Linked DNA regions of Caenorhabditis elegans. The protein of the gene in region 1 interacts with the protein of each later gene in a biochemical or structural test. Each region holds a gene or a part of one and is shown in the gene's direction. Other genes may lie near its edges.

Evidence for each region.
Region 2: of the proteins of rap-1 (region 1) and rgef-1, one has a biochemical effect on the other in vitro, tested with the Caenorhabditis elegans proteins (one study listed by BioGRID).

What each region holds. Positions count from the first base shown.
Region 1 is NC_003282.8:8,911,814-8,926,534, reverse strand, and holds rap-1 (Ras-related protein Rap-1), read left to right. Parts: upstream 1-7,644; 5' UTR 7,645-7,760; coding exon 7,761-7,817; intron 7,818-7,866; coding exon 7,867-7,935; intron 7,936-8,337; coding exon 8,338-8,394; intron 8,395-8,443; coding exon 8,444-8,584; intron 8,585-8,632; coding exon 8,633-8,773; intron 8,774-9,548; coding exon 9,549-9,650; 3' UTR 9,651-10,285; downstream 10,286-14,721. Other genes in the region: cfim-2 (RRM domain-containing protein), read right to left, coding at 1-57, 110-195; D1046.2 (C2H2-type domain-containing protein), read left to right, coding at 476-547, 589-728, 777-906, 951-1,126, 1,176-1,293, 1,336-1,626, 1,683-1,967; D1046.16 (uncharacterized protein), read right to left, coding at 3,635-3,655, 4,050-4,385; C27B7.9 (INSulin related), read left to right, coding at 10,457-10,516, 10,569-10,682, 10,866-10,964; Ig-like and fibronectin type-III domain-containing protein C27B7.7, read right to left, coding at 11,299-11,443, 11,905-12,020, 12,071-12,181, 12,670-12,795, 12,948-13,217, 13,332-13,504, 13,769-14,056, 14,166-14,358 and 3 more. UniProt on the Caenorhabditis elegans protein: Required in the hypodermis for proper formation of the cuticle.
Region 2 is NC_003283.11:9,549,349-9,567,281, reverse strand, and holds rgef-1 (Ras guanyl-releasing protein 3), read left to right. Parts: upstream 1-5,610; 5' UTR 5,611-5,673; coding exon 5,674-5,755; intron 5,756-5,806; coding exon 5,807-5,922; intron 5,923-6,112; coding exon 6,113-6,288; intron 6,289-6,337; coding exon 6,338-6,392; intron 6,393-7,274; coding exon 7,275-7,367; intron 7,368-7,425; coding exon 7,426-7,506; intron 7,507-7,760; coding exon 7,761-8,071; intron 8,072-8,138; coding exon 8,139-8,397; intron 8,398-8,744; coding exon 8,745-9,289; intron 9,290-9,560; coding exon 9,561-9,692; intron 9,693-10,451; coding exon 10,452-10,566; 3' UTR 10,567-11,255; downstream 11,256-17,933. Other genes in the region: F25B3.4 (Serine/threonine-protein phosphatase), read left to right, coding at 551-962, 1,011-1,358, 1,598-1,654; ehbp-1 (EH domain-binding protein 1), read right to left, coding at 11,537-11,654, 11,912-12,225, 12,274-12,429, 12,544-12,663, 13,286-13,347, 13,441-13,500, 13,579-13,656, 13,757-13,922 and 6 more; nstp-10 (GDP-fucose transporter), read left to right, coding at 17,446-17,472.

The sequences.
Region 1 (14,721 bases):
GTGGGTGCAATCGCTTCATCGTACAGATCGTCAATATCTTCTTCCTTGAGCTCTTTTCTGGATCAAAAAATAAATTTTTAGCATTTTCTTTTTTCATTAAAGTATTTACCCATCCAGCAACGCATTCTCGTCTATGGGACCATCATGTTGTTCGTTACCGTCACCTAACAACGCTGCTTCGTCCAATTCAGCCATCAATCCTCAAACAAACAACGGTTACATGAATTTTAAGAGAGAAAATTAAAAAGTCAAAATTCAATTGTCTTCTAACAGAATAAGTGAACAATTATTTAATTAATCGATAAAATCAAAAAATATTTATTAACGCAACATGGGTGGGGCGTGCACGCTAAACAACAAGCGTGTCTGTTCAACGGAGTGTCGTTTGCAAATGTCGATTTACGAAAAAAAAAATTGATTTTGAAAAACATTTTTTTAAAAATATTTTTGAAGTTAAGCTTTTACAGTTTTCATCATGAATGACGGATATAAGCAAAACGATATAGTAAATCATGAAGCTTATGAAGAACTTGAAGTCGCAGAAGAGGTAACTCATTCTCCCATTTCAAATTAAATATTTATTTTCAGCAAATAATTTACTGTCAGGAGGAGTACAACGATGGTCCGGGTACTATGGTTCAAGTTCAAGAACAGACAGATGTGCCATGTTATGTTATGGAAGGAACTTATTTTACACCTGAAAATATATATGCTGCTAATCAAGACCAGTAAGTAAATCAATTAGCCGAATCCGCAAAGATTTGAAAATTTTGCAGTTCGGTGTGTCATTTCTGTAAAGAAGATCTCACAAATAAACGATTTTACAATCATTTATTTGATCATCATGGCTTCACGAAGCAGCAATGTGAAATGATGAAACAGCAAAAACGACTCGGGAGACCAAATGTATATTTCAATTATCTAAATTTGAAAATCAAGTTAATTTTCAGCCGAAGCGAAAATCGTTGCATTCTTGTGAAAATTGTGGAATGGAGTTTATCACAAAGACAGGATTAACGAGCCATTTAAAAAAAGATAATAGCCCGTGTGCGCGTGTTGACGAAATGGCTGTTGGAGGATCGTCTGTGAGCAATATCGTTTGTCCAAGTTATGGATGTGATAAAAAGTATTGACTTTTATAAAAAAGAAACATATTCAGTCTCTAAATATTTTAGTGTTCCTACATATTTGGATCTGGCGATTCACGTCGACACCGAACATCGAGATCTTTCGAGGGCAACTGATTCATTCCGAATTCGAAGAGTGACTTTCCAAGATAAAGCTGGATTTATGGTATGTATTATTTGATTATTTGCAACTATTTAACATTTTCAGAAGTGGAAAAAGCAAATGGAAAAATCGACGAATTCGGAGTTTTTCCTTAGGACTTCGCAAAAAGTATCATTTGCTATTCGGACAATGCTCTATAAATGCCTGTTTTCAAATTCTCGAGGGCAATCGAAAGGCAGAAGATGTGAGCAGTGTCCTGCATTTATTAAATGTTGTATGAGAAATCATGGGCAATACGAAGTTGTCGCCTGTTTCGGGCATCTTGGACATGAACACCCAACTGAAACCGAGATTGCTAGACAGATGAGAATCGAGAAATATCGAGAGATTGACGCAGTGAGTTTTCATTTTATAAAAAGTACGAGATTACTTATACCAGTATCAATTTTCAGCTTCAAGTACGAGAATCTCGAATGCATAATCAACATCACATGAATGTTCGCCCAAAGCAAATAATTGTTGATCAATACGGACACCCTACTCACCCAAACGATGAAATGATGATTCTGATGCCGGTAGGAGAAGAAGTCGTTGAAGAAGATGCATTCACAAGCGTCGTAGTAGATGACGCTGATGATGAGATAGTAGGGCCACGTGCTCAACAGGAAACACCAGCTTTAACAAGACAAGTCTATATTCCAACTTCAAATCATCACGCGAGCTCTTCTCATTACTAGACAATGATACCTGTTATAGTTTCTTTTTGATTGTAAAAAACAGTTAATTATATCAAGAATTTCTCCATTTCCTAAACAAATTTCATACTTAAATTGTCGATTGTGATTAAAGGTTCAGGTTCTCACGAATAGGAAATTCCTCCATTTTTCTGTTCTCTACACTCCTTTATATCGTCGTTTTTTTCTATTCATCGGGTCCAATGTAGGTTTTCAATCTCCGTCTGCCCACCAGATGTTCAAAATGTGTTTCTGCTTCCTGAGATTCTTCACATTTATTCTGTTGTAATTGTTCTGTTTCAAATATTTTTTTTTTTGAAATCTACAGGTTTTAATTTTTAAATGTTGATTTAATTTTTATCTAAGAGTTACAACAAAAATATTAACTCGAATGAAATTTTTTATATTTGACCAAATTTTTTAATACCGATATTTAGGAGTTCATCCACATATTATTGATTTTAAAAATACTCGAGCAAAAGCCTTTTGAGAAACAGTGCAATTTTTTTCTACTCAATGACGCGGTTCTCTCTCTCATCATATTTTCTTGTTATCTCATTTCCACAACCCATCTTTCTTTTTCGGACAGTAGTTATTGTGTGCATGTGTTCTCCATGTTCAAATCGTCGGCTGTTCTGTGTTCTAATCTTCAAAAATGTCGTCGCCGCTCCTTTGTTTGTCGAGCCAGCCCAACCGCCACCGAGCAATAATGCGTGTGTTCGAGTGAGCATGCTCATGCAAAACGGCTCTCTCCGCTTTTCCGTCATTTTTTCAGTGTCACCTTGTTGGCAGAGATTCATGAGACATTTTCATTTTTTGAAACCAACGTGGAAATTGGATGCGGGGGCAGCCGGTTTAGAAAATTCATTAAAATAATTTTTACTGGTTCTAATTTTTCATTTAATTGGGAATTCAGATATAAAAATTATTTTAATTTCTGATTTAAAAAAAATTTTCAACTACAGTAACTGCTGCATCGAAAAGTACTACTGCTGGCGCATTCGGCGTGAGTTGGCGCGTTTGCCGATTGTTTTCATTTTGAAATTAGTTTTTTCCTCGAAATATTTTTTTCTCTTTAAAAAATGCAGTTTTCCCATGATTATTTCTAAAAAGAATTGCTCATTTTCCCTTCTCACAAATTCTGTTCGCATTTGATAGGCATTTCTCACGGAATGGCACGAAATTTCGCCGGAATTACCATCGTGCGCTCTTATTTTTATGTGTTAGCCCTCGGCTTTTCCCTTTTTCCGATATTTTCTATTTTTGTTAGTCTGAACTTGATAATATTAACTTTTTCTATTTATTTTTGGCACTTTTCACGTTTTGAGGATTAATCCCAAAAGGAAACTCCAACACGCATCCCCGGTCTCCATAAATAGCATCGAGGATTTAGCCAAAAATGTCAGATTGACACGTGCGTTTTCTGTAGACTAGAATGTCAAAATTGAGTTCTTAATCTCTGGTGCAAATTTCTTTATCTTTGTTGTAAATGCTGAGCCTATTTGCCAGTTATTCTTTTTCAAAGCCAGAAGAAAACGTTTAGGATTTGTTACGAAGTAGATGAGAAATATGACAAAGTAGATGCTTGTGTGCGCGAAATGTTTGCATCCAGTAGTAGCCCGTCGGACCTGTCACTTTCATCGGTCATTTTGAAAAGTAATTGGCTGTTTCTATTTCTCCTGTTCTTGTGTCTGAAATGTTTTGAAAAAAATCAGCAATCTTTTTTGTACTTCTCATTTCTCAGTTTTCATTAGAAGTTAGAATAAGAAACGTTTTCCAATTTTGGCAAAGTTAAAATTATGTGAAGACACCGGTTCAAAATCTTCACTTTTTTCTCCATGATAATGAAAATTTAGAAAGCTTTGAGCATGGGATAACTTATGACCGTGTCAAGAATTTTCCTGAACTTAATTCCCCATTTTCTTTGTTGGCAGAAAATAATTATGCAAATGGATGTTTTCTTAATACATAATAAATTTATGTGAACTATGTGAACACATTGTTGCCCTTTTCTGTGATATTTCTAATATTTTCTTCTATAAAAGAATGTCGGCATAAGAAAGAAAAGAAAATCGAAACTAAAACCTTCAAAACATTGACGACCGGAAAAGGAAGAATAAGTGAACAGCAGAGATGAACAATTACAATTTCGCCTCCCATTCTTTGACATCGTTCATCTCTCCGTCGCAAAATAATTATTTTCCCTCTACTTCTCCTGCCCGTTCCACTCATAAAATGCACTTTGAATCGGAGTAAATTAACCCGTTTTCGTTCATTTTTAGCCAGACGCAGACTATCCGAAGACGTCCTTCTTCGTACCGTCCGTCTTCCCCCACTTTGTTCATTTTCCAAAAATCGATCGATTATCGTCCGAATTCGAACCGAACGTGCGTGTCGTTCTGCACGACGCCTGATTCTCATATTCTTTTGCACTATCTCGCTACTGAACTGTCGTTACCTCTCACATCTCTCACACCCTCTCTGTTTGGACACTGTCTCTCATTAGTCAGTAGGGGTCTCCCGTCCGCGTCGAATCGTATTTGATACTGGTCTCGAAAACCAACATTACCACGCATCGGAGGCGACTAGTCTCCCACCTTTTCGATTTCGATTTTAATTCTTTCTCACCTCGCTTTGTTTTCCAAGAAAAATCGGTTTTGAAATTTGAATCGTTTAATTTTTTAAACTCAACATTTTGTAAGTTGCTTTAAAGATCTCATTTAATAGTATGGATGTTAAATATCTTCCTCTTTTTACATGTACCCTTTTTATTTCACTCTCATTTTATTTTTTCTGAAAGTGAATATTAACTTTCGTACGAGTGATGTTAAAATTTAATTGCTGACTCACTGTTTCAGTGTTAATAGTTAATATTATCAAAAAAATTTCCTTAAAAATCCCAATTATAAGTGATCGTTTATCAACACTTCCTTATTTTACTGAAATTAGTAAATTTTTCCAACACAATTAATCACTGTGTAAACACATTTAAAACTTCGCAGCATTTAAATTGGATATTAGGCATTATAAGTCATAGATTCCTATTGAAATCACTGTGAGATTGGTTTTTGTTCTTTTCAGATTTCTCGTGCCAAGAAGAATAAGCCAAAAACCTCTAAATCTCCCCCTATAAGAAAAGAATGAGTCAATCCACCTCATTTCCTCCTCCACCACCCTCTTTTTTTTCTTTCATCTTTCTCATTTCATCATCATCATCCGCCCATGATCCTTTAATGAGAGAACTAATTGGATGAAAAGTTGTTGTTCGAAGCAACCAAATTATGGGATTATCAGTGACAACGAGAATGTTTACGAAAACGGTGGGCTCGCTGAGTGAAGAGAATAAAAGGAAATGCCCGAAAAGATTAGTTGAAGAGATTTTCAGATTTTTTAGAATTTATCTGCCAAACGTTGATTTCCGCATTATGCTGCCTAGTTGCACTTTTATCAAATATGAATTAAAGCTAAAGCTTCACATTTGAATGAGTGGTTCCATTCAAAATATTGAACGCTATGCTATGTTCAAAGTTTTGTTTGGATTCTATTCCTATAATTTAAATATGCACACACGCACTAATAGATGTAGTTTCGAAACGAGTTGTCTTTTGACCATTTATATTTTCTTTCATAGCTTTACAAGTCTTTTTTCTTCTTATTCTGATTCAAAAATTTTGAACTCTGGGATTTCAATTCTCAATCATTAGTTTTCGGGTTTTTAACTCCACAATTTTCAATATTTCTATCACTTTCTCGAACCACTTTGAATAAATTTGCTCCGAAAAATTGAAAAAAATACGGACCGAAAATTCTACTTGGTGGTTTCCGAGTGACAATGATTGGGCATCATGTTGAACAGTTTCAAAGTGATAATCCAAAAGTATCACTCTCTTTCTCTACCTTCACTGTTTCATATAATATCTCGTAGCTTCTGATGACCCGCACTTGGGGGCCCACTGCATCCCGTTTTCCTGGCTTTTTCTCTCTATCTCTATGTCTCTCTATTCGTTCCAACGCTTCTTTCTCGTTTTGTTCCATCTCTTCACACTCACACATACACATATTATCATCTATATGTGCTGAAGAAAAAGAAAAAGAAAGTGTGGATGATATGATTATACTAATCACTCTTCTCTTTCTTTCTTCTTTTCGTCGCCTCGCCGGCTAACGGCCGCTCATGAGGTTATTGTTGCCACCTTGAAGCTTTTGTTTTTTTTTAATCTTGGATGCACAAATATCAAATTTGTATTAACAATATTTTTTATTGAGAGCCAGCGTATTCCCATTAGAAGGCCGCTAGTGTCATACAAGTTCTCTAGATTTATAATTATATTGATAAGGTTTTTTTTTAAAACTTTATTGCACTCGATACATACATAAATTCATGTTGTCATCATTTTTCTAAATAATCCATCATCAATTTTTTTTTCAACGTACTCGTTGGACTAGACATCCGTCTAAAAATAGCGTGACAAGCTCGACAACAAGAAATAATGAGCACATTTGTCTGATAGTGATGCTTAGAGCATATTTTTCACTTCGATTGATCTGAAAACCTATATTTATATTAATTTTTATGACTTTGCAAATTTCGAATAAATTTAAATTTTGAATAGGGTACTGTAGTTTTCCCAGTCTCTATGTTTCACGAAAATACATTTTTCTAATAGAAATATGTAATGTTGTCTAGAAATTTTCTAGGCATTTTGCAATCAGATCAACACCGATAACCAAATTTTTAAAATTGAATAAAAAATTTAAAATCCCAAATATCACCTATTTTATCTACGCTTATCGAAAGGTTGTTATACTTTTCTTGTGTGATCTGCATTTAAAGTCAAAAACTAAATATTCTCTCTTTTTTCTTTGTTTTCTAGTAGAATTGAATTAATTTTTGCAATTGAATAATTATAAATATATATATATAAGAATTCTCTTTTTCTGTCATTTTTTAAACCGCCCGTCTGTATCGAAATCCTCATAAATATATATAGGTCATGTGAAAGTTTAATCCAATCGATTTGAGTGGGAGGAAAAATAGAGATTGAAAATAAAATAAAATCCAATTTTTATCGAAAAAAATAATTTATTATTTTCTGTTATCATTTGTACATTCTTCGGGGAACATATCATTGTATTTCTTTATTTCCGTTTCTTAAACCTTCCATTCCTTTCCATTTTTTTTTAGTTTTTACGATCCAGCACATAAATATTCTCCGTTCGAAACCCATTTGTGGTTGAGAGCCTTCTTCGTTCTGCAAACACTGAAAAATGAGTCATAGTCGAAAAATATTAACGGCGACGACGACACCCGCTTTTGTTTTGTTTTCAGTTTTGTTGTCTGCTGTTTTCGATTTTAAAATTACGTTTTTCTGACGTTTCGAAAGATTTAGGTGGAATTTTTATCAAACTTATTCAATTTGTTTTCCCTCACTGTAAAATTCGAAGCTATTTTCTGAATCTCCATTTTCAACTAATTTCGTAATTCCAAAATTACACCAGCTGTACAATTTTTTAATGTAAAATGTGTCATCTGGTCTGTACTTGGTGCCAACCTCGGATAACAGGTGTTCTGTGAAGTGAACTCAGAAAGAAAGACTGTGTCGTTCATCTTTTTCGTCTTTTAAAAATTCTTTGAAACTTGTTATTTCAATAGTTCTATTTTAAAATTTTTTATTTTCAGTACATCCCTCTCTCCACGTTCACTCATCCAAGCATTTCGAAGACACCATCACGGGTCGTCGATTGCAGGGAATACTCCAAGCATCAACAACACCATAACAGATCTTCAAAAAAAGAATGCGGGAGTATAAGATTGTTGTGCTCGGATCTGGAGGAGTAGGAAAATCCGCACTGGTATAGATGAGAGTGACCGGAAATCTATAGTTTTTGTATATATTTTCAGACGGTACAATTCGTGCAGGGAATTTTCGTAGAGAAGTATGACCCAACAATTGAGGATAGTTACAGAAAGGTAAGAATTGATTTTTAAAGCTTCTGATATTACGCAAATACGAAATTTTACGGCAAAAAATACGGCACCTAGTCTCGACACGACAATTTTTGTTAAATTCGAAAAGGTGCGCGTCTTTAAAGTACTGTAGTTTAAAACTCGTTTTTGGAAGGGTTTATATCGATTTTCCATTGTTTATCGATGAAACACTTAGTGGGCAAAACTCAAATATTACAATAAACCACTTAAATGTTGTCAATTTTTCCTGACGAGAGTTTTTAGTTACAGTACTCCTTAAAGGCGCACACCCTTTTGCTTTCCACGAAAATGTATCATATCGAGACCGGATTCCGTATTTTTGGCGCAAAGTGGGCAATATAATACCAACAAATTTGAATTTTTATATCAATTTCGTGTTTTCAGCAAGTGGAAGTCGACGGCCAGCAATGTATGCTTGAGATACTGGATACAGCAGGAACGGTAAGTTAATTTCACTTTCACTTTTTTAGTTTAAAATTTAAAAATTCAGGAGCAATTCACAGCGATGCGTGATTTGTACATGAAGAATGGACAAGGATTTGTTCTCGTTTATTCAATTACTGCTCAATCGACATTCAATGATCTTATGGATCTTCGTGATCAGATTCTTCGTGTCAAAGATACGGACGAGGTTGGTCTTGATTTAAAAAAAGGAAATAATCAAATTATTTATTTTAAGGTTCCAATGATTTTGGTAGGAAATAAGTGTGATTTGGAAGACGAACGAGTTGTTGGAAAAGATCAGGGACAGAATCTCGCCAGGCAGTTTGGATCAGCATTCCTTGAAACCTCTGCAAAAGCAAAGATTAACGTCAGCGAGGTGAGTATCAAAACCTTTTGAAATTTCTATATTTTTCTCAATGAAAAGGAGGCTAACAATTTAAAAAAAATCCGAATATCACAGTTAAACACTTAAAAAAATATTTTCACACAGTTTTTTGAAACTCACAGTGAAATTTTTGATAACAATTTAAAAATTGGCAAAATTAATTTTTTTTAGTAAAATGGATTGTAATGCTGCCACAAATTTTTTAACCCCGAAACTCAAAATCGACAAAAAATGTTGTTTGAATTTTGTACAAAAAACATTGAATTTCTCCGAAAGTACAAAAATTCCACCTTTTTCTTTCTGGCGACTAAAAATTATAGTTTTTGAAAGACTGTTTTTTTTGTTTTCTGGTACGTAAAAAAAATAAAAGTAAAAGAAAACCAAAATACACAATTTTGCAAAAAGAGAGCCTTGAAACAATTTTGTCATGCTCGAACCCGTGCAATATTCAAAAACAATTAATTCAAATATAAAAAAAGGGAATATTTTTTTAGCCGACTATAATATAACGATATAACGACGAATAAGGTGGAAATGAGCAATTAACACTTTTCGGTTGAAAAAATAATTATAATGGGTTATCCAACTGGGTGAAAAATTAATTGTTTATGCTCTGGATAACCCCATAACATTTGGCTATTTTAGCACAATAGCATTTATTTTAAAACAATAATCCCCAGCGATACTGAAAATTTAATGCAAAAATTTTTTAAATGTGTAGTTAATGGAATTTCAAGTAAAAATAGCAAAATAATTTATATTTCAGGTGTTCTACGACCTCGTTCGTCAAATAAACCGACGTTATCCCGAATCTGGTCGACGCCAGGGACAATCAAATAAGCAGTGCTGCTCGTGTGTCATCATGTGATTATCTTTATCTACAAAATTTGAAAATATATTTATTCATCTTCTCATCATCAATTTTTCCCCATAACTTCCTTTTACAAGGTACTCGCCGTTCTTTTTCTCCGTTGAATCAATCATCAAAATCATAATAACCATTCGCTTCTGGTTCATCTGGACATTTCCATTTAATTACTAGTAGTTTCTTTTGTTTCATTCATTTCCATTTCCACTCGAAAGTATTACCTGTTTTATAACCCACACACAAAACTCTTAGCTTCTAATGACATCATCAACATCATCATTCTTCCTAATTTTGCATGAAAACCCCGTTTAACCAGTGTGCCTTCTCAATTGAAGTTTCCAGTTATTTACATTCAAAAAACATAATATCCCACGAAAACGCCGTCGAAAATTCCAATTTTTTGAAACATTTTGTCCCCCAAATGAGGCATATCTTTGATCCTCCAACATCATTTCTCGTTTTATTTTAATTAATTTATATTTATTTTTGTTCAATTTTACAAATTTTTACACTAAAAATGTTCCACTCGACCCAACATTAACTTATTCTATTCTATTCCAATCTTCCCTCTCCCCCCATCCATCTCCCCAACCTTCATCATTCTTGCTTTGAATTAATAAATTTGATCAATGAAACTCATGGCCATGCTTTGGGCGAATCGCATCAAAATGAAATCACAAGGAACGCCCCTCGAAAACAAGTAAAGAACTTGTTATGGGCGGTACGATAGCCCTGAAATTACCCTTTAAAGGTTCTCCGACTTTCACTGATTTTATATAGAAAAAATATTTTATTTTCTCTCCAAAATGTCTAGAACTTTCCTAATTTTCGCCCTTCTTGCCACAATTTTGGTACTCGAAGCTTATGTAAGTTTCTTTGAATTCTACTTGAAGTATTTCGAATGGGAAATATTTTCAGAAAGTCCCAACAGATACTGCCACACAATTAAAATTGAAAAAGAGAGGTCAAGCATGTATGAAACGAATTCTTCCAAAGAATGGACCATCTAAGGCACTTCAACGAGAACTTGCAGTATGTTTATTCAGTGTTTGAATTAATTAAATATTAAACAAAAAAAGGAAAATAACTTTGTAAATTCATAATTAAACATTAAATTTAAGAATAGTCTTGCTATATGATTACAAACTTTCAAGAGCTCACAGAGAGCTCTAACCTCTAACAACTAGTTTTCTTAGTCAATTAATAATTTTACAGGTTTGCTTCAAAGTTGACTGTGCAATGGGAATAATTCCCAAAGTAGAACGCCAATTTCCTCGAGAATTCCCAATTTTGAAAGGATGTATGGGATATTAATTGTTCAAATTGATTCAGTTTTTTTTATCAACTTCCTACATTTTCTCCCCATTTTTATAGTCTGACGCACAAAAATTCTGATAAACTGGTTCTTTTTTGAAATTCTTTTCACTGATCGATCACTTTTATTTTTGTTTTTCCTGTGGAGAAAGTATTGGAAAAAACAACTTTACAGTGATAAATAATATGAAATATTTATAACACAAATTGATGAACATACAAAATATTTGTTTTGTTTTAATGAAAGAACGTAATGGGCATTGAAAAGTTAAAATGAAAAAAAAAATATTTCGTAGAGTCTACCCGAAAATTAATTGTTTTTCAAAATAATTGGTTATAGTGGCGGCTCCTTGATCACTTTTCGACGGGAACCGGAAATTATTGGAGTTGGAGACGGTGAACTTATAAATTCAAGATCAATCTCTTCGGATGGAGGACTTTCACGTCCAAGCTTCATTCCAGACATTTTGATTGTATAACTGAAATTTGACAAAAGGAAGTTGAATTGTGAAACACAGTAATTTTAAGACGTAGTCTTTCTTGGCAGGGAACTCGAAAAATGATATTTAGATAAATTCAGAATAAGTTCGTAGCTTTGATCATAGTTCTGTAATCTTTCTTCTCTTCATTCTTACAAGAGCGTATTTCTAAAGGACATGAAATGTGATCAACTGATTAACATTTGTACAAAAGTCACTTTGCTGATTAATGATTTTGTGGCAAGATCAGTTTTAAAGATCTTTTTTGGAGTGTAATTTTTTAAACGAGACAATGTTTTCAATAAAATAAACCATGATCATTGGTTAAAAGTTCTAAGGAATGATTTTAAAAATCGCGAAACTGGAATTATGCCTTGTTCTACTTTGGATTGAGAGCATCTTTGAGTTGATTTTTTTTGAAACTGCCGAGTGATATATTTAAAACAAATCTTAGAATCTACCTCAACGTATGATCTAACTGAAATGGAAATTCAAATGTTGTCTTTCCACTTTCCACATCAATTTCATGTTTGACAGTCTGATTATTTCCATCTTCTCGAATATAAATATTGTACTTCTGAAACAGTACAAAAATCATTTTCAAAATATGAAGTCAATTCGACTTACTGTATAAATGGGATTTCCCACTTCGACGAACACCGTTGAATTGATAACAATTGCTGTGAAATTATCGATGACGTCATTCTCGTCAAAGGATATCAAATCGAAAGTGTATACCTGAAACATGTGAAATGAAAAAATGACGATTGGCTACCTATAGGTACAAGTATCAACTGACACAGTAATGTGAAACATCAAATTTGATGAAAAATGTGATCAGAGAGTTTTCATCAAAGAAACATCATTTCAAAGATTAACAATGACGAATATTTATTTTATTTTCAAAATATCGATGTCTACTGAAAATTTATTGGAAAATATAAAACACATTCAAAAGAAATTGTCTGGATAAATAACGGAAAAGTGACCGAGTGGTCGTTTATCTTGAAACGTATTTCATTAAATTCCAGATATACTATTCTTTTTTTGATAAATTACGGATATTTTCAAAATCAAAACCTACCCAAAAATGCTAACTTCTAGATATTTTGTTGCGTTCTTGGGGCAGGTAATTCAAGTGAAAGTTTGGTTATTGCTTGATAAAACACATTCATATTAGGACAAACTTAAATTGGAATTTAGAATTTATTTTTCAAATCTCATACCTTCGTCTCAGGACCTTCATGTCTTTGATTTGTTGCTGTCATTTTCATTTGATATCTTTCATTTTCTTCTAAACCATCATCAACACCAATTATGACATGAGTTATATTCGAGCCATAAATGAATTTCTGAAAAACTAACAGTTAGAATAAATAAAGCATTTGAAACATTTTGATTCTCAAAATAATCATGATTTGAAAAATTATTTTAGAATCAATATACCACTTCAAGATCTGGCAAATGGGAATTTCTCCAAAACAGAAACTTTTTGAATACCTACCTTCCATTCCTTATCAATACTATGTTCTTCATTTTCTGATTCATTTTCTTTTTGGATATAAATTGTATAATTTTGAATCTCTCCGTTTGGAAGTCTTGGTTCTACCCAGAAAATATAAACTTTTGAATCTTGTGCATGAAGTGAAGAAAGAATTGGAGCAGTTTTTGGGCCTCCATTTGGAGTTGGAATCCATATTGGAAATGTCTTTTCTCCTTCTCCATATTCATTTTCTGCCGATACTCGAAGTGAAATGTTGACATCGAGAGGAATCTGAAATTTCGTTTTATAAAAATTAAAAGATGAACATTTGAAACTAAGCAACTGTCAACTAGGAAAAGAAATATGAAACCAAAAAATAAAATGCAACCCAAAATAAAATCTTACATCAGGAATTTTAACAGGCGGTCCTGAAACTTTTGTTTTGTAATTCGACAGGTATAAATTGTATTCTAGTTTTTCTCCATTTGCATTCTCGATTGGATTCCAATTTATATATAAAGTTGAGTCATATTCTTCTTCAAAACTCCAACTGATATTTGTTGGAGCTTCTCCGGGTCCTGAAACATTACTAGTCTCCCATTAATTGCCACTAAATTTAGAACTGGAACAGGCTTTGAAAAATAATTTACTTTCGCGGTGATCTACGCCTGCGTCCTTCAACTGAAATGAACTCGCATAGAAAATCTATGGATGAAAAACTAATGTAAAATGAAGAAAGTAGTCCCTAGACTTAGGCAGGCAGGCATAAGGCAGGCACGCATGGATTCGTGTCTTCCTACTGTGAAAAGCTCATCAGGGAATTTCTTACACATATTACTTACTTTTGATTATAATAACTTTGCTTATCGTGACATTTTCATACTTATTGCTTGCCCTGCATGTCACTGTAACATTCCTTCTTGAATTAATCTCTGGAGCTTTTGCTTCGAACAAATCCATGTCATTTGTTTCAACTTCAACAAAGTTTTGTTCTGTTTCATTCGCAAACTGATAGAATAATTCAGGTTGTGGTTTTCCTGTTCCTTTGCATCGAATCTCAACATTTTGATTTGGTTCTGCCTCGAAATCAAGAATATTCGATGCAACTATTTCCAAGTGTATTGTCTCATCTGAAAATCTTCTTTGTTTTGTTTCAGGTAGATTTTTATAAGAGAGAACTTCAAAATATTCCATGTTTGACGAAATCTTTAATATTTCAATTTGCTCACAAAAACTCACAAAGCACATCAGAAATGCATGAAAGTACATTTGAAATGATTCCGGGCCCTCGATCAGACACAGCTTGAACACGAATAAAATGCTTAGTATGTGGTCCAAATGTTTCCACATAAGTTTCCAATTCTGCTGTTTCAAATTTATTCCAATCGGATAAATCATCATTTTCATTTTCAGAGTAATATACAATATACTTCTGTAAATTGAATTTAAAAGATAATGCAAAAGAATGACAAAGAGGTTACCATTATATCTCCATTCGGAAGTGTCGACTCTTGCCACGTCACATTTATTTGGTTACGGTATGCCGTCAAAATTATATTTTCTGGTGGATTTCCGGGTCCCAAAACTCGAATTTCGACAGACTGAACACCAATATTTTATTTTAGAAAAGAGAAAAGGCTCTTACCGCAGAAGAACTTCCTTCGTTATTATTTGCCAAACAGGTTAAATCTCCCGACTCGCGAATATTGTTTCTGGTAATTTTTGAGCTGGAACAATATTTTTAAAACATGAATCGACTATTCAAAACTAACACAACAGTTGTATCATCAATTTG
Region 2 (17,933 bases), on another chromosome or scaffold:
TTCTAAAAAAATTCTGGAAAGTCAGGTCAAAACGTCTCGAAAAATACTAAAATGAATTTTTCTGCATACTGCTGCCGCCGCTCACATCCATCTTTCTGGCGACTATGCCATTCAAGACTTAACCTACTGCCGCAGTGCATGACAGAAATACCGTGATAGAAATTATTTGGATTTTTGTTTTTAAAGAATCTCTAGACCAAGAGCATTCTTTGAACTATAAAAACTTGTAAGACACTTGATGGATTCCTCGAGAAAAATGTAGAAATCCCGCAGAATGCCGACTTGCGTGCCATAAAGGTCGTGATCTCAAAAGTTCTGAAGGCCTGCAGCGATGCGGATGGGAATATTTTGAAAATTCAAAACGTTCATCTGGTCAGTATTTTATGGAGAACAAAACTTGTACAAATTGATGTAATAACTCTCTCCACTAGTAAAGTTATAGAGCTGCAAACGTGTTACCATACTTTTGGCCCACCCTGTATTTTTCAAATGCTGCAAAGCCACATTTTCTGATGATTTTAAAGCTCTGAAAAATTTGTTTAATTTTCAGCAGCATATTCAATAAGCAACCAATGCTCATTGAGGTCAACTCACCAATTAACATTTGTGGTGACATTCATGGACAATTCAGTGATCTTCTTCGCCTCTTTGACAAAAACGGCTTCCCACATCGTGCGAATTATCTGTTTCTTGGTGATTATGTGGATCGTGGAAAGCATTGCCTTGAAACAATCTTGCTTCTATTCGCCTACAAAGTCATCTTTCCAAACCATTTCTTCATGTTGCGAGGCAATCACGAATGTTCACTTATCAACAGGCAATATGGATTCTACGAAGAGTGTCAGCGCCGTTACAACAAACCATCCGTATGGCATTCGTTTCAAGGTGTCTTTTCGGTTATGCCATTGACAGCTCTTGTTGGTCAGAGAATTTTGTGTATGCATGGCGGTGTTTCCAAAATGGTATCAAATTTTTACGGTTCGGTACAAATAAACTTGAACTTTTTACAGCTTCAAAACGTCAGTCAACTTCGTGCTATCAAACGTCCATTTGACAATCCTGAGCCAAATACGCTTGCAATTGACATTCTTTGGAGCGATCCAACAAACTTCCAAAAAGGATGGAACCCGAACTCTCGTGGTGTTTCGTACGTTTTTGGATCAGATGCCCTTCGCAAACTTCTCGATCGTCTTCAAATTGATCTCGTGGTTCGTGCTCATCAAGTTGTGCAAGACGGCTACGAATTCTTTGCTAATCGTCGTCTGGTTACAATCTTTTCGGCACCGTTCTACTGTGGACAGTTTGATAATGCAGCTGCAGTGATGTATGTCAATAAGAATCTTGTTTGTTCGTTTGTGGTGAGTTTTTGGGGAAATTTCAGAAGTGGTAGTTGAGACTGTTTGATCAAGTATAATTAACTCTAGATGTAAGTGCAAAAACGCAACATTGAATTCCGACCAAGAGCTAGATTCAAGATTATTCTTGTTGCATTATCTTGGTTCTTATTAACTACGATGTAGTCTTCATATACCTATTTTTGACTCTATTATCTATTCCACTCTTCTCCCAATTCAAAATTCATCTAATCTATTTTCAGGTTCTCCGTCCTAGAAAGAAAATTGCGAGACGTCGTATGATGCCAGCGGTCAACTAGTGTATGATTCCTCGAATGTATTGAACTTTTCTTCTGTCTCGAATTTCCAGTGATATAAACACATTCTCGTGATTGTTCCTTTCTCCGGTAGTAGTGCATAGATATTATTGTTTATTCAGTTCCATCCACTCACTTTTCTCTCTCTTTCATTTCATGAACTTGTTGTATGTTCTTCCCTTTCATGGATTTTGTGTGTGTGTTCTTCTTTTTGATGGTATGTTAGCTCACATACACTACTATTTTATTTTTATTCGTGATCTCTTCTCGTTTTTTCGAATAAATGTTTATGTTCTTTTCTATTCGGATTTATTAAATTAATTTGATTCGGTTATTCAAAAGTACGCTTAATTTCAAAGTGTGGCAACCAAGAAAGTCTTGTTTTTTGCTTAAACTTTTAAAGGAATTCCATTTTCAAATTGGCATCGAATGCAAAAGTCGCAACCTCCAACGTTCGATGAGAAAACTTTGTCTCATTTCGAATGAGCTCTCATCATTCAAATATTGTGCATTAAGCCCCCACACACATCGCTGCCGGAATAGATGATCCCATCGTAGTTCGATAATCTCGTGACACTCGTTTCCGATACCCCCTTATATCAGCACACATTCAGTCATCATACCACAAAATGTTGTGATAGTGATAGGCAAAACTACCGTATTTCCTCTATTAATCTTGCATGCAAGACTAATTTTCGATTAACCCGTAGGGGTGCAAGACTAATAGAGACTGCAAGACTATTAGAGGCTGAAATACTAATTTTCGTATGCTCAATAATTTTGGAAATTGGCCTATTTTTTGTAGAAACTTGATACCGTTTAAACAAGGAAAAATACACACTTTTTAATATTTCATCAATAATTTGAACGATTTTGTGATTTTAAGTTCAATTTGCCCAAAAAAAGACAATTTTTCTGACGTTACCGCAAAGTAATGCTGGTCAGGCAAAAAGAGCGGTGCAAAAATATAAGAGACTGCAATACTAATAGAGGAAATACGGTAATTGAATTTTAGTGAAACTTGCGACAGTTTTCCTCATTTTTTTGTTATTCCGGCATACGAGTGTGGCATACGAGTGAGGTCATCTTTTGTTTCTTCCGTTTCTTCATCGCTTTTGAAAAAAAATGTTGAAGAAAACTTCGTAGCCGATAGCCGGATAATGTTTGGCACGGCGTTCCAACATATATCATTGGAAATTTTTTAAGATTTTTGCGAAAAATCACATTCTTCACGATGAGAACACGTTATTGAAGGAATATAAATCAAGAATAACATATAGTTATATTTCTCTATTACTTTAACGTTAAATATGAGCAAATTTGAGCATTTTGATTGCGATGAAAAGCAGAATCGAGTCAACTGAAATCCGTTCAAAAACCTAAGCTCGGTTCGCCCGAAAGTCGATTTTTCCAATAGCCGAACAGCACTGCTTCTTTATTTTCCAGGTATTTTTGGGGTGTAAGAATTATATCTTCTTTGTTTGGGTATTTACGTTTCCGAATTCCCTTTCTTGATCTGTCGCTATTTTTCAGAAACCAGAACAGTTTATCCTTTTTCATGAGAACCTGAATAGCTCAAAAACCCGTTTAATTTCTTTTCATCATCTCATTTGAAACTTTCCTAGTCTTCTTAATGATTTCCAGGCTCCTCCTACATTTGTATCTCAAGATGCATACACTTTATTTCCGCTCCAATTCGAATCATCTACTTCTCTTTTTTCTTCAACTTTCTACTTTTTTCCATTCTTTTCTTTCAAATGTTCGACGTCTTCAAGTGACTGCTCTTCATTCTCCTCATTTTTCTCGAATTTCATTCTTGTCTCTTTTTTGCTCAAAAATGGAAAATGAAAGTGACGTGAGATTTGGACGGCGGGACACGGGGGCAGTAGAAGCAGCAAAAAGGAGAGAAAGAGGACACAAATAAGAAGAACGAATTCAAAAATAAGCGGAGAGGAGCTATTTCCGTCAATTCTACCTCCCCAATCTTCATCAATTCGGCTCAATTGAATGACGTCACAGGGAGATAAACCGTTTGGATGAGCGCCGTCCATCACTGACGCCATCCCGTTTGGGACAAGAAAAGAGAAAAAAGAGCACAAAGTTTTTGGTGACGGATCTTGTCAATCATATGAAAGTTGTTCTGATTGATTGTCAGTTTTTTTCCTACTTTTTTGGATTCTATCCACTTCTGAACTTTTGACAAGTTTCAAACTTTCTGAATCATTTTCTATGCATTTTCCTGGAATTCTTTTTATGTAAAATATGAAATAGAATGTTTTTGAATTCAAGTTCTGCTTTTTTCTTCTTTTTTGTTCTGTTCGGGCTTGGGTATGCTTTTTTTAAAAATTATTTTGCACATCGACCAATAAGTGCGCAACTTATAAAATTAATTTATTTTTGTTAATTTTTGAAATACTTGTATTGCTTTAAGTGATCTGACCTCGCCCTGAGCTTTCCACGTAGTTATCAAATACAAATCCTCCAAGGGTAACGTACCTATATTACTGATCTTTATAATAACTTTATCACCTGTCCAGTTCCAGAGGAATTCTGTTAAGCTTATAGGCACAGAAGGAGTCATTTCTGCTGGTTTTTAATGATCCAAATCTTTATTTCAAGTAAAAAACTGAACACTTGCGAATAAAACTATCAGATTAACCATTCACCAAAAATGTGTTTGAATCTAAAACTTTCTCAGTATTCCAAATATAGAAATAAATAACCACGACATTGCTAAAATCTGTCTGAATTGTGTACTCCTTACCGTGAAGTAATAATGGATATAATGAATCGTTTGAAATGAATGATCAGCACATTTTTGGTGAAAGATCACAAATAAGGAATAAGCGACGGAAAATAAAACGATTATTTCGGATCAAAAATTTGTTGAAGATCATATACACTCGAGACCAAGATTATTCTAGACAATTTTCAAATTGGCTTCTTTGTTTGCAAATCTTCATAATAATCTGTGAAGTTTGGAAATTTGAATTTTTAATCTTTTTTCATAGATTATAGTTTTTATTTCTTTGCAAAACTATATTAAAAACCGATGCATTGTTTTAGGGAAATTAATGAGCCTTTTGTTCAACACTAAAAACAATAAAATTAAAATTTTGGCTTCATCATTTGACCTTTTTTAAGTTCGAAAACTTTTCTCGTATTTCTGAACCGCCAATTTTTTCACACATCTCTAGACTTTTGGTGCCCGTTCCAGAAAGTTAAGTAATTGCTATTCTAAGAAAGTTCTCAACATTGTTTTTTAGTTCTGATTGAATTCTGATGTTCCAGGAATATATTTTAAATTTAATATTCTTTGCACTATTTCTATACTAACTAAATAATAAATAGTCTAAGTATGTTCAATGAGAACAAAAAAGCTCTATCTATATTTTTCTATCCTATTTCATTTATATCCTTTTCATTTTGAACTCACCAGCTTCTCTTCTTCTTCTTGTCCATATACTTCTTAAAAGTCTCGAACTTCTCTCTCTCACTCTCCATCAATTTCTTTATGGCTACCGCTTGCGCTCTGCCGCTTCCGAAGAAAGAAGGCGTTGGCAGAGCTCTCAATTCTATTTTTTCTCGCCGTAGGCTATCGATTTCTCAGCTTCTCTTCTCTCTTCCTCACTCCACCACCACCACTTCGGGCTTCTTCTTTTCTTCATTTTCGTCTTCTTCTTCATCCTCTTCTTTTTTTTTCAGTTCCCCCTCACTCCTCCCCTTATATGCGCGTGCGAGAGGGGTGCAAAAGCAGCGCGCATCCGAGAATTGAAACGAGAAAACGGAGACGCAGCAGCAGTTCGTCCTCAGAAAAATAGCCAGTAAAAAGAGAAAAAGATAGAGAGAGACCTATCGCATTTTATTTTCAAATTGCAATTCCTGCAATTCATGTGTGCGTGTGCCCATTTTCAATTCTTCCCGTTATTTTTCAGACCATTACCAACGTTCTTTCTAGATCTTGAGACAATCTTCCTTCTGCTCAATCGTTCGTCGTGAAGACGGCATCGACGACGACGACGATGAGCAGTAAAGTTGAAGAAGATCAACATCAAGAACTTCTCACAGAAGATCAACTTGTGGCAAGATGTGTTGAATGCTTTGGTAGGAATAAAAAGTGAAACCCTATTAACACCACAGGTGGTAATTTTATAGATGTCGACGAGGAGGATGAGGTTGAAGATATTGAATTTGTTGACGCCTTGTTTTTAAGTCATCAATGGTTGAGTGATAGTTTATCACTTATTACACATTTCGTGAACTTCTATCAGGTAATTTAAAAGTTGTGATCTGTAGTATTAATTGAATTATTGCTCTTGAGTTTTATATTTCCGGCTTCACGCGCCCAGTTCAGATGTTCCTAAAACACCTGGCTGAGTGAAGCTTGCAAATTTATTTACATTTTTATTTTGAATTAAAGACTGTCACAGAAAACAAATAGTAATAATATCAAATTTTAAGGAAACTCGAAACGTCGAACAAAGAGAAGCAGTATGTCGAGCGGTATCATTTTGGATCGAAAAGTTTCCAATGCATTTCGATGCGCAACCTCAAGTCTGTGCACAAGTTGTTCGATTGAAAACGATAGCAGAAGATATAAATGAAAATATTCGAAATGGTCTAGATGTCAGTGCATTGTAAGTACTTTCAATTTACAAAAAAATAAATAAGTTGAAACAAACTCAGACCGTCATTTGCGTGGCTTCGAGCAGTTTCAGTTAGAAATCCATTGGCTAAACAGGTAAGTTTTTTTGTTGTAGAGTGAAGGCTTCGAGGAATTGCGAGCTATGGTGTTGATGTGTGGAGAGAAATTTCAATTTGGTTTCAATTAGTTTGCATTATATTTTTAAGTTCATATTGCTGTTTTGTCTGAATCAGATCATGTGAACTTTTTGAACTATTTCATACTATTGCGGATTAGCAAAGTAATCTTTTTGATTAACGGATAAAAAGATTAGATAAATGAATCATACAAAACCCTGAAATAAAAAGTACGCACCCAACTTGCTCCTCGATTCAATGAGTAAGCAAGCATTTAAGAATTCCTCAGGAAGTGGTATACTGGGAAAGTTTCTCAAAAAGTTTTCATTGAAAAGAGATGAACTCGCCATTAGAAGAAAAATTAGTTTGAGAGATTTTTGATAAGTTTCCAATGTTGTCAAGATGCACAATTTTATTGAGTTTAAATTTCTCTTTTTTAGTCGACCTATATTTATAATGTGCATAGCCTGCATAAAAAGAGTCAACTTAAAAAAAACACATAAATCCAGCAGAGTTTATACACTGTGTGAATTTCCACGACATGATTACATATAATTGCAGAATTGTCGATAATTTCGAAGATGGTCATTCTGTCGTTTACAACATTTGATAACATTAAATTTTGAACAAAAAAAAGTTGTATCAAATATCACTCGCTGAATACCTCGTTTTGCTTTTTGTCTGTATCTGATTTGAGAAAAATAGCCTTGAGTTTCAGACAATAGTTCGAGTTGATTTCGAGACTTTGCCCACTCCGGGAACCCCTCCACCATTTCCCATTGCCTCGAAAAAATTCTCACTAGTACATTTATCAACTTCTTTGAATATTCATGAATTTTTTCTAACATCAATTAATTTTCAGACTGCCTTCTCTCTTTCATTTGTCCAAGCATCCCCTAGCGATATTTCGACGTCACTTTCTCATATCGACTATCGCGTTTTGTCCAGAATTTCGGTGAGAATAATATAAATTAGAACAACAAAATGATGAATTGTGGTTACCTTTATTTCAGATAACTGAGCTCAAGCAATATGTGAAAGATGGACATCTAAGATCATGTCCAATGTTGGAAAGAAGTATTTCAGTATTTAATGTGAGTAAATATTATTGAAGAAAATTGAGCATTTTTTAATTAGAAGCTTTAATGGATTGGTTGCTTCGTTTATGATCAAATAGCGGCCAGGACCAAATATAGACAGATCTTTGAGCCTTCTAAGAAACTAGTAATTTTCACTTTTTTGTATTCTAACAGTGGCTTAACAAGCACTTAAATAACACGTTTTGGGTGTAGGTTCTTGGTTCTTGATTTTTTTCTCGAAATCACACAAAAAACAATAATTAATTCAGAATCTTTCCAATTGGGTACAGTGCATGATCCTTAACAAGACAACACCAAAAGAACGAGCAGAGATCCTTGTGAAGTTTGTTCATGTAGCAAAGCATCTACGAAAGATCAATAATTTTAACACTTTGATGTCCGTTGTTGGTGGAATAACTCATTCATCAGTGGCTCGACTTGCCAAAACATATGCAGTTCTGTCAAACGATATCAAAAAAGAACTGACTCAGTTGACAAATCTTTTATCTGCTCAACACAATTTCTGCGAGTATCGAAAAGCATTAGGAGCGTGTAACAAAAAGTTCCGGATACCTATAATGTGAGTTTGAAGTGTTTAATTTTCTAAAAGTTCAATAATTCAATATTTATATGTTTCAACTTTTCAGCGGTGTACATCTCAAAGACCTAGTCGCAATCAATTGTTCGGGTGCAAATTTTGAGAAAACAAAATGCATCAGTAGTGATAAATTGGTGAAACTTTCCAAACTGCTTTCAAATTTTCTGGTTTTCAATCAAAAAGGACATAATCTTCCCGAAATGAATATGGATTTGATAAACACATTGAAAGTGTCTTTGGACATTCGGTACAACGATGATGATATTTACGAGCTGTCGTTGAGACGGGAACCAAAAACTTTTATGAATGTAAGTATATTTTAAAGTACCATGGTATCTGATGGCAACTTTCTTGGAAACTTTTCAAAAACTCTATAATTTAATTTGCAAAATTTCCTGTATAGAGGCGTTCGATAAATGTGAACTTTTTCCAGAAAATTTTTGACAAAATCAAAGATTCCTGTTTGCAGGAAAAGTAACGGTTTTCGGTTTTGCTTTATTAGACCCCTGAAAACCGGATTTCGAAATGATACTCAAAATTATAAAATACAGTCTTATGTGGCTAGCCTGAAATGTATTTGGTCAAATAATTGCGACTACCCCTTTAAAGAATACTTGTCAACGAACTAACTTTTTTTAATTGTTCTTTTTTTTAGTTCGAACCATCTCGTGGACTCGTATTCGCTGAGTGGGCCTCTGGAGTTACAGTTGCACCTGATAATGCAACAGTTTCAAAACATATCAGTGCAATGGTGGACGCAGTATTCAAACACTATGATCATGATAGAGATGGATTCATTTCTCAAGAAGAATTTCAGTTGATTGCTGGAAATTTCCCTTTTATTGACGCATTTGTGAACATAGATGTTGATATGGATGGACAGATATCAAAAGATGAATTGAAGACCTATTTTATGGCTGCAAACAAGAATACAAAAGATTTACGAAGAGGATTCAAGCACAATTTCCATGAAACTACATTCTTAACTCCAACGACTTGCAATCATTGCAACAAATTGTTGTGGGGGATTTTGAGACAAGGCTTCAAGTGCAAAGATTGTGGATTAGCAGTTCATAGTTGCTGTAAATCAAATGCTGTAGCCGAATGCAGAAGAAAAAGTAGCAGCAATTTAACAAGGGCTGCCGAGTGGTTCGCTTCACCACGTGGCAGTATGAGAAGTAGGATAATAAATACATGCAAGTGAGTTGGTCTCAAATTGTGAAGAATCTTCAGAAACCGGTTTTCACTGAAATACATAGATCTAGATTAGTTTTGATATGATTGATCTCGCACGTTTTTTGAACTCTTCAGAAGCATGTAGCACGTTTGAACGGGAAGAAATATTTGAGAATTATATGTTTCTAAAAGTCTAAAGTTTCATTTTTTCTACTCTTGGTAATTTCCGTAGACTATATAATTCCTAGTTATAAATAATCGGTCGTAGTATGTAACCTCTAATCAGATTCATTAGAAGATCGTCTCGGCCTCGTACTGTATCTGCAGTTGTCACATCTCCAACAACAGAGAAGCCGACATGTTCTACGAAACTCAGTCCTCCAAAACTGAAAGATATTCGACCACAATCGGAAAGTACTGAATATTAGTAAGTTATTATAGTGGCTAATTAGTTTTTAAGTATCTTCCTAAATTTATCAAAAGTTAAATGCTTTTCCAACCAAAAACTTAATCTTTTCAAAACTAAAAAAAACCTAGTCAACAGTGTATCACAATAATGCGATAATTCATATGTAACAAACACTTTAATTGTGACATGCTTTAATATTTATTTTGAACAGAGCTCTATATTCACGGTTTCCTGAATGTATTTCTTGCAGTAATTATATTGTAGTCTACCGTAATTCTCACGTGGACTACGGTAGGATCACATACCGTATGTCCCCTAATAAACTTGCATCATCACTCTACTTTGACAGCTTATATCTCTTATGTCTCAATTTTAATCAAATATCTATGTTTAGAACTATAGAAAAATGTTTTGGGCGTATTTTGTCAGTTGACAATTTTTTAAAACCAAAGTCAGCTGGCTGTCAAAGTAGAACAAGCGGATACTAGTCTGATAAGGAAAATACGACATGTGATTAGAAGTTTTGTGGAGCACAGGATTCACTTTTACGATACAATACTGATCCCATCAATTGGTGTCAGGCTGTCGCATTAGGAGTTGATCTACAGAAAATGCGGGAATTGTCTACCCAGAAAGATGTAACGTCAGCACGTTCTTAACCATACGAATTTAGTAATTCTCATAGATCTACGTAAATCAAGCCGAAATGGGACACTCTGACACCATGTGCCCCATCAATATTTTCAGTTGTTCATTAAACATCAATAAGAATTTCAGTAATTCCGGAAGTACACCAGATGAAGAAATTGGTCTTGTAAGCCTTGCTTGTGAAGAAGTCTTCGAAGATGATGATCTAGCAGATATTTCATCTGCGTCATACCGTACCGCCTGATTTGTCTCCATCTATCTCTTTCTCTGCACTCTCTTTATTTTTAGCAAGAATATATTACACAAACACTGAATTCTGGGAATGCGTGTTGCGCAACATATTTGACGCGCAAAATATCCCGTAGCGAAAACTACAGTAACACTTTAAATGAATACCGTAGCGCTAGTGTCGATTTACGGAAACATTTTATTAATCGATTAAATATTAAAAGAAACACAAAAATGACAAAACAATACGAAAAACTGAATATCACTGTCGCAATTCGAACATAAGTGAAAATCGATCCCGTAAATCGACACCAGCACTACAGTAGTCATTTAAAAAGTTACTGTAGTTTTCGGTCAGATATTTTGCGCGTCAAATATGTTGCGCAATACGCCTTCTCAGGATTTAGTGTTCTCGTAATATGAGAGTACAATATTAAGTTTATTCTTCTCATCTATTTTTCTTCAAATTAATGCATACGAGTATTTTTTCCTGCAAAATGCGATTCATTTTTTAACCATATCACTCAATTTCTCAAATTTATTTGTTTTTTCTTTCAGTACATTCCCTCACAATTCGAGCTTGCTTTTTCCTATCCCACTTGTTTGATCTCTACGCTAAATATTTCCACGTGTAAAGTATTTTTCACCAGTCTTCCACACACTTTCCTCTTTTTTCGAATGAATTTTTGCTGAACATCATTTAAAACTCTGAATTGATTTATTGAAAGCTGAAAGCATTTGGATTTGTGTGCACCGAGAGAAAAGAAAACTGAATACAAAAATATACACATAGAGATGAAAAGATAGAGAAAAATTTGATGTTTTGATTAACTCCTAAAAATTTGCCAAAAAAACGGGAAAGAGTGAATTATGGAAAGGAGAAAAAATGATAGAAGATAACAAAGGGACACTGGGAGAAACTTTGTTTTCAGAAAGAGAAGAAGACCCGTAGTTTTAAATTGAGTAATAAATAACGTTGAAGCGTATTAACGGCGCCACCATTGAATAAGTCGCTTCGATGCTGAAACAGGCTGATCTATTCCACGAACAAAGCGAGTAGCCCTATCCAAAGTAAGGTTCTTCAAACGATCCGAATCTTCTTCGCTGAAAATTTCGAATGTTGTTTCATTAGTTTCACTGAAAGTAGTTTATTACGTGGTGTCAGAATGTCCCATTCGGTTTGATCTACGTAGATCTACAAAAAATTCGGAAGTTGAGACGAAGAGTTCTCAACTGATTTCGCATGGTTAAGAACGTGCTGACGGCACTTTCTTAGGCGAAAAATTCCAGCATTTTTTGTAGATCAAACCGTGATGGGACAGCCTGACACCACGTGGTTCAACAAAGCAATAAACACTTACATTTCGTCCTCAGTTGCAAATAACTTTTGAACCAAGTTACTTTTTGTTTTCATAGCATCACTATATTGTTCAATCAGTTTATCCGTTGCCGTCTTATTCTCATCAGAACGAGGGAAATCATCAGGAACTTCATTGATTTGTTTTCCCAATTGGTCAATTTCCGAAGTAACCTGACGAATTGTCTCAATGATATTATAGTATTCCTGTCGATGTACAAGAGTGTTCCGTTCATTTGTCAACTCAAGATATGATGCAGTCAACATTTCTTCTTCTGAACTTCCAACTTCTGTTTCACGGATCTTGTCTTGAATAACCTGAAAACAAAACAAACTGAATTAATCCTTTAATTCTCAGAATCTTACATCGGCTTGTGCTGTAATATCCGATATACGTTCGTCAATACGAACAAGCTCATTGGCGGTTCCTTCAACGTCATCGACGTCTTTTTCCCATTGGGAAGAGAACTTTTTGGTTGGTGTCGCCAGAGCGTCTTGCGAAGATGATTCGAAATCGTTTCCCTAAAAATAATAACATTTAGACGGTAACTTTCAATTTGCACCCATGATTAAATTTTATGTTGATTAAAATAGAAGCAAAAATCATTACATTACACTTTTTACAACATCACAAACCATGTATCCGTATTGTTTCGCCATCAACTGCAACGATTCTTTCAATTCTGCACTACGCATACTCCCATATCTCTTGACACGATCAAATGTAGAAGCTGATGAAGGAGTTGATGAATCGTTCTGAAATGTGAGCAAAACACTTGTTAGGCATACTGTACAATGCGGTGTATGATAAAAAAGAAAATATAGAACAGAGAAGAACTAAAGATAATATCGACGAAAGAAAAATTATGGTTAGATAGAAATGAGGATTGCTAGTGGTATTGACAGCTAATTGACAACATTCATATTTAAAGCTTAAAATAATACTCAAATGTTTAAAATTGAAAATCAGACAACTTATTACACTGACAAAATAGTTTGCGACAAAATATACGGTAGCTGGTCTTGACGCAAGGTTTCAAGCTCTCGTATTTGTCGATATTTCATCGATTCTTCATAGTTTTTTTTTAAATTTATGTGTGTTTTATTGTTTTATTTTAGTTTTTTATAAAAAAAAAAGTTTTATCGAAAAACTATGAAAAATCTATGAAAATACCTCACCAACGAGGATTTGAAGTAACTGTATCTTTAAAGGTACACATATTTTTCCTGAATCGGTGTTGCCAATAATGCTCTATTCGGGATTAAACTGTTAACTCGGCATTTCGCGTCTTCTTTCTCCCACCTTTTTGCCGGAAGGCGAAAAGGTGGGAGAAAGTAGGCACGAAATGCCGAGAATTTAAATATATTAATGACTGACCCGATTTCCATTTGTTCTGCCACGACCAATTGCTGGCACATGAGGAGTATCATTGGGATCGTCTGTAATTAAAACAAAATTAAGATGAAATTGTTCCTAATAATGCAATTGACATGTTAAAAATCACTGCACTATGAGGAAATAATAAAATGTACATTGTTTGCGGACGAGCGTCGGAGATGGATCACGTTTCTTGAACTTGTGTACATCGAGTTCTGAAAATAAATTCACTACATGCTTTGTCACAACACTAAAACAATTAAATCGGAGCATGATCTGAAAATGTTACAAACCAATACGACGAAGATCGGTATTTGATCCATCGATACGACGGAAAGTGGGATATGGTGATGATGAAGTAGAGGGGATTGCTGAAATGGGAACACACGGTAGAAATAATTAAAACAATCACAACAAAGGAGATTACTATAGAGAATCACGACAACTTTTGTGTTTTTAAAAACTTCTCACCCGTTGGATGCTGCTTTTCGTTCAGCATCCGTCTGACCTCTTCGCGTCTTCTCTCTTCATCACTCGCTTTCCGTGAATTTGGTGTTGCTGCAGGAGTTGTTGATTTTTCAATTAAATCACGTGCTCTTTGGCGTAGTTCATCTCGCTTTGAAGGTGATGCACGATTCTGAAAGTTGTAAAGATTTTCAAAAATAAGAATCTCGTAAAATTGGATATCTATTAGGAAAAAGAATTGATTAGACTATTTCGCTGGGAACAAATGTAATTGAGTTTTATAAGGGCGAGTATTTAATAAGTTTTTTAAGTTGTGTCGCAATTTTTATCAAGCTGTTATATGGTAGTAGGAAATGTTCAGTTATGTATAACCTTATAAATTGCATTAAAAAAATAAAATAAGAAAATATACCAAGAAATCTGACGATTGAAAGAACCTGTTTTTTTCCTATAATTTCAGTTATATTATACACACAAAGTATCTTAAAAATGGTAGAATTGAAGTGAAAAAAGATTTCAATAACTATTTTAAATAATTAGCATTATTCAATTCGAAATTCAACAAAAAAACAAAAACTAAATATTTAAAATTTTAAAATTTTTTTTTTCAATAAAAACTCACCGATGCACGAATTGCTCCAACTCCTGGAGTCACCATGGTTATGCTTACATTACTTCTCTCAAAGCGCATATTTGAAGTTTCAGCATCATCGTCATCAGCGTCAGTTGGTTGATTGAGAGCCGGATTGCGACTAGCCAACTGTGGTGTAACAGGAACTTCATCAGGAATGTGTCTATAATCCACAGCTTCTTCGAGATCTTTTTGATTTCGAATTTCTGTAATCATGGCAACAACTTTTTCTTCGGATTCATTAATTCCAAATGTTCTGGATATTCTGTGATCAGAAGCACTGGCTGGTGTAGATCCCTCGTCAAATCCTTCAAAGATTCGGCGAAGATGTTGAAGAAGAAATTCTATTTGTTTCCGATCAGGAGTCAGAAACATATCAACTGTTGGTACTTCTGTTATTCCTATCAAAGTAAGTGAATCGAGGGCTCTTTGAATATTCGAAATGCGTCCAGACATATTATTAGAGATATCCAGTGTTTCGTAATCTCCAATGAGATCCGGGCGATAAGAATGAAGAACTGCACACAAGGCCAATCCGTTGTTCCAAGATTTCATAAAATCATTAACTTTTACATGCGAATATCCGTTAGTAACTCTCTGACACCATGAAAGTAAAGTCTCTCCATCGATCGGTTGAGGGACAGCATCTCTAGATGGAGCTCTCGGAGAATTTGATCTTCTGAAATTGAAAAAAAATTATGATTGTGAGAAAAGTAACCAAACAATACCCTCTACTCATTGTTCCACTTTGAAGATAATATGGTGTAGCGATTGCTGTAACTGGAACATGCCGAGAATTGGAATCCACACGGAATTCTATTGTTGTAGACGCTTTTTCTTCTGTCGAAGCACGGCTTGACCGACTATGTCTGTTGGTTGCAATTGGCGCTGGAGCTGCTGGTTGTGACGTTTTTTCTTCTTCAGCTGATACTCTCCATTGGGGACGAACTGAAATACATTCTATAAGAGCCACGGGTGTCGGTTTTTCGATTTTTCGTTTTCCGAAAAATTGAAAAAAAAAATTTCGAGTATTTATTTTGGTTTTTTTAATCCTTTTTCTTCATCAACATAAACAAATTTTGATATATCATTTTCTGGATAATTTTCGAATTTTTTTTTCGATTTTCGATGTTCCTTGAAAAAAAAATGAAAAAAATCTACAAATTTTTTGATGACCACACACGAATTTAGGCTATATGACTTTTTTCCATGAAAATATTCTAGCCAAAAATTCTAACGATTAGGTTTAAAAAACGATTTCTAATTACCTTTTGCAGGGTTTTCATTCTCTCCGGAAGGTTTTCGGTGTGCTGGAACAATAGGCGGAGCGATTTCCTTTTCCTCTTTGATCCATTCCATCATTTTTGTAGCTGTCGTGTCGATTTGTTGTCTTGCAGCTTAAAAAAACAAATTATGTGAAATAAACTGTATTTTTTCAATCAAAATACCTGCTGCTCTGGAATCATTTGCACTCGCATCAACTTCATCTGTTACTGGAACTTTTTCAACAAAAGAGGCTGCAGCTGACGAAGTAATACTAACATCATCTGCATTTACTTCCGAAATAAGAGAACTTCCAAGAAGAATAATCAGGGAACACAATTTCAAATGAGGCGTCAATGGACGGAGCTTGAGCTTCAGTTCACTTTTATGATCGGGTAGATCCAGAATAAATAAGCGAACATTGAGTGGCACTGCTGCAATTGCTTTTCTTTTTCCTTTAGCAGTTACTTCTTCAACAACAATCGTCCATTCTTTATCTTCATATTCATCACTTGCAATACGATATAATGTTGTAAGAATATCTATATTCTCTGAAAATTGCTCAGGCCACATAATCAAACATTTGTTAGCGTCCGAACATTCTTCCCATTTTCGTTCCTTTGATGATACTTTTCGTCGTCTGTAAAAATTGTATGATAAAGGTTTCATGAACAATTTTTTATTTATTTTCGATTCGTATTATTTTCTTGTGAATATTTTTCTTTTTTTTTCAAATTTCCATAATGATCATGATGCATTGTGTCTATTTTCTGATTGACATTTATTATTCTTTGATAAGAAAATGTATTCACCTATGAACGAAAGAAACTGCAAGGTTTTCTGGTTTCCATTGTTCGTCGGTGTAGAGATGTAATTCCTAAAATAATAAACAATTGAGATAAAAGTATCAAGAACGAACCTGAAGAGTAACTGTAAATCTAAATTTGGCAGCTTTCTTATTGGATCTCCGAAGTCGACGAAGAATACCCGCCATCTGCAATTTATATGTTAAAACAATGGTAATCAGGTGCGTAATGCGAAGAATTTCTTTTCGATTTGTCGTACGGAAATGGATATTTGAGGAGATGAGAAGAAAGGAAAGGCGGCGGAAACCGAGAGGAATGGGCGCAGCCGTCTTCCTCCTCCTCATTCGACAACGGCGGCGAGAAGATTTGATAAAATGAGCGAGAGGCGATAGACTAGAAGGAAAAGAGAGTGACAGAGGTAAAAAGAAAAGAGCATTTGGAGCTCCAAAGAGAAGGTCTGAAATATGTTATTTTATCCAGTGATTCACAAGAATTTGTATTATTTTAAAGAAAATGAACAATAGAAATTTAGTAAAACTGAAAGGGAGAGGAGAGAATAACAAAAACAATCTGACAGTAGAGCATCGTGTAATGTTACTAGATCGAGTTGGATTGGTCACTTGAGACCGCCGATACAAAGATTTATGGCCACTTCTTGCCATCTCTCACGCTCTCGGTAGGTTTTCGATTTAGCATTTAGTTACAAGTGCTACTTTTCGAGTGTTCGTCGTTATGTATCAGTCAGCTGCCAGCGCCCGTTACACTAACTCTGCTCAGCGCGCCGTCGAAGTTCAAGTGTTCTCCCATAAACAAAAAATGGCAGTCAGAATAAATAAGTTAATTTTTATTCTGAAAACACCATTAAGTAACGTTTTCAGAAAACATGAGGAGCTATCGAAAATGCGATATTTAATAAACGTGAGGAACATAAATGGTTTGATCGAGAACTATATGCATAACCACAGTGATTGTTTGACAAAAATTAATTTAATACGATGAAACTGCATGAAGAAAACAACAAAGTAGATATTTATTGCAACAATATATTGAAAAACCGTTTTCAAAAATTGGTCTAAAAAACACGGCCCGAGAAGTGGTATTTTTTTATGATGCATATAAAAAATTGGAGAGGTCTACACTCCAATTATCAGTAGAGCGCATTTGCATGGATGTACCACTTGCCGGGCCGTGAAAAACGTTTACGTCTTTTTGCGTCTGCATTCACAGTCACGCAAAAACGCAGACACGTTACTGTAAATAGAATATTGTGTAATTCGACGTGGCCGTGTTTGCACATTGTTATTCTGTTTGAAAACATTTTTTTTCCGAAATAATTTTTGCAGAGGGGTTTTTCTTTTATTTCTTTTATTTCCTTGGTAATTCCCTCCATAAATGCGTTTGTATTCTCACAAATTAAAAAATTAAATTATATTTTTAAAAAAGTTAAAAGCCGATTTCGATATTGATTATTTCTTAAGCAGGT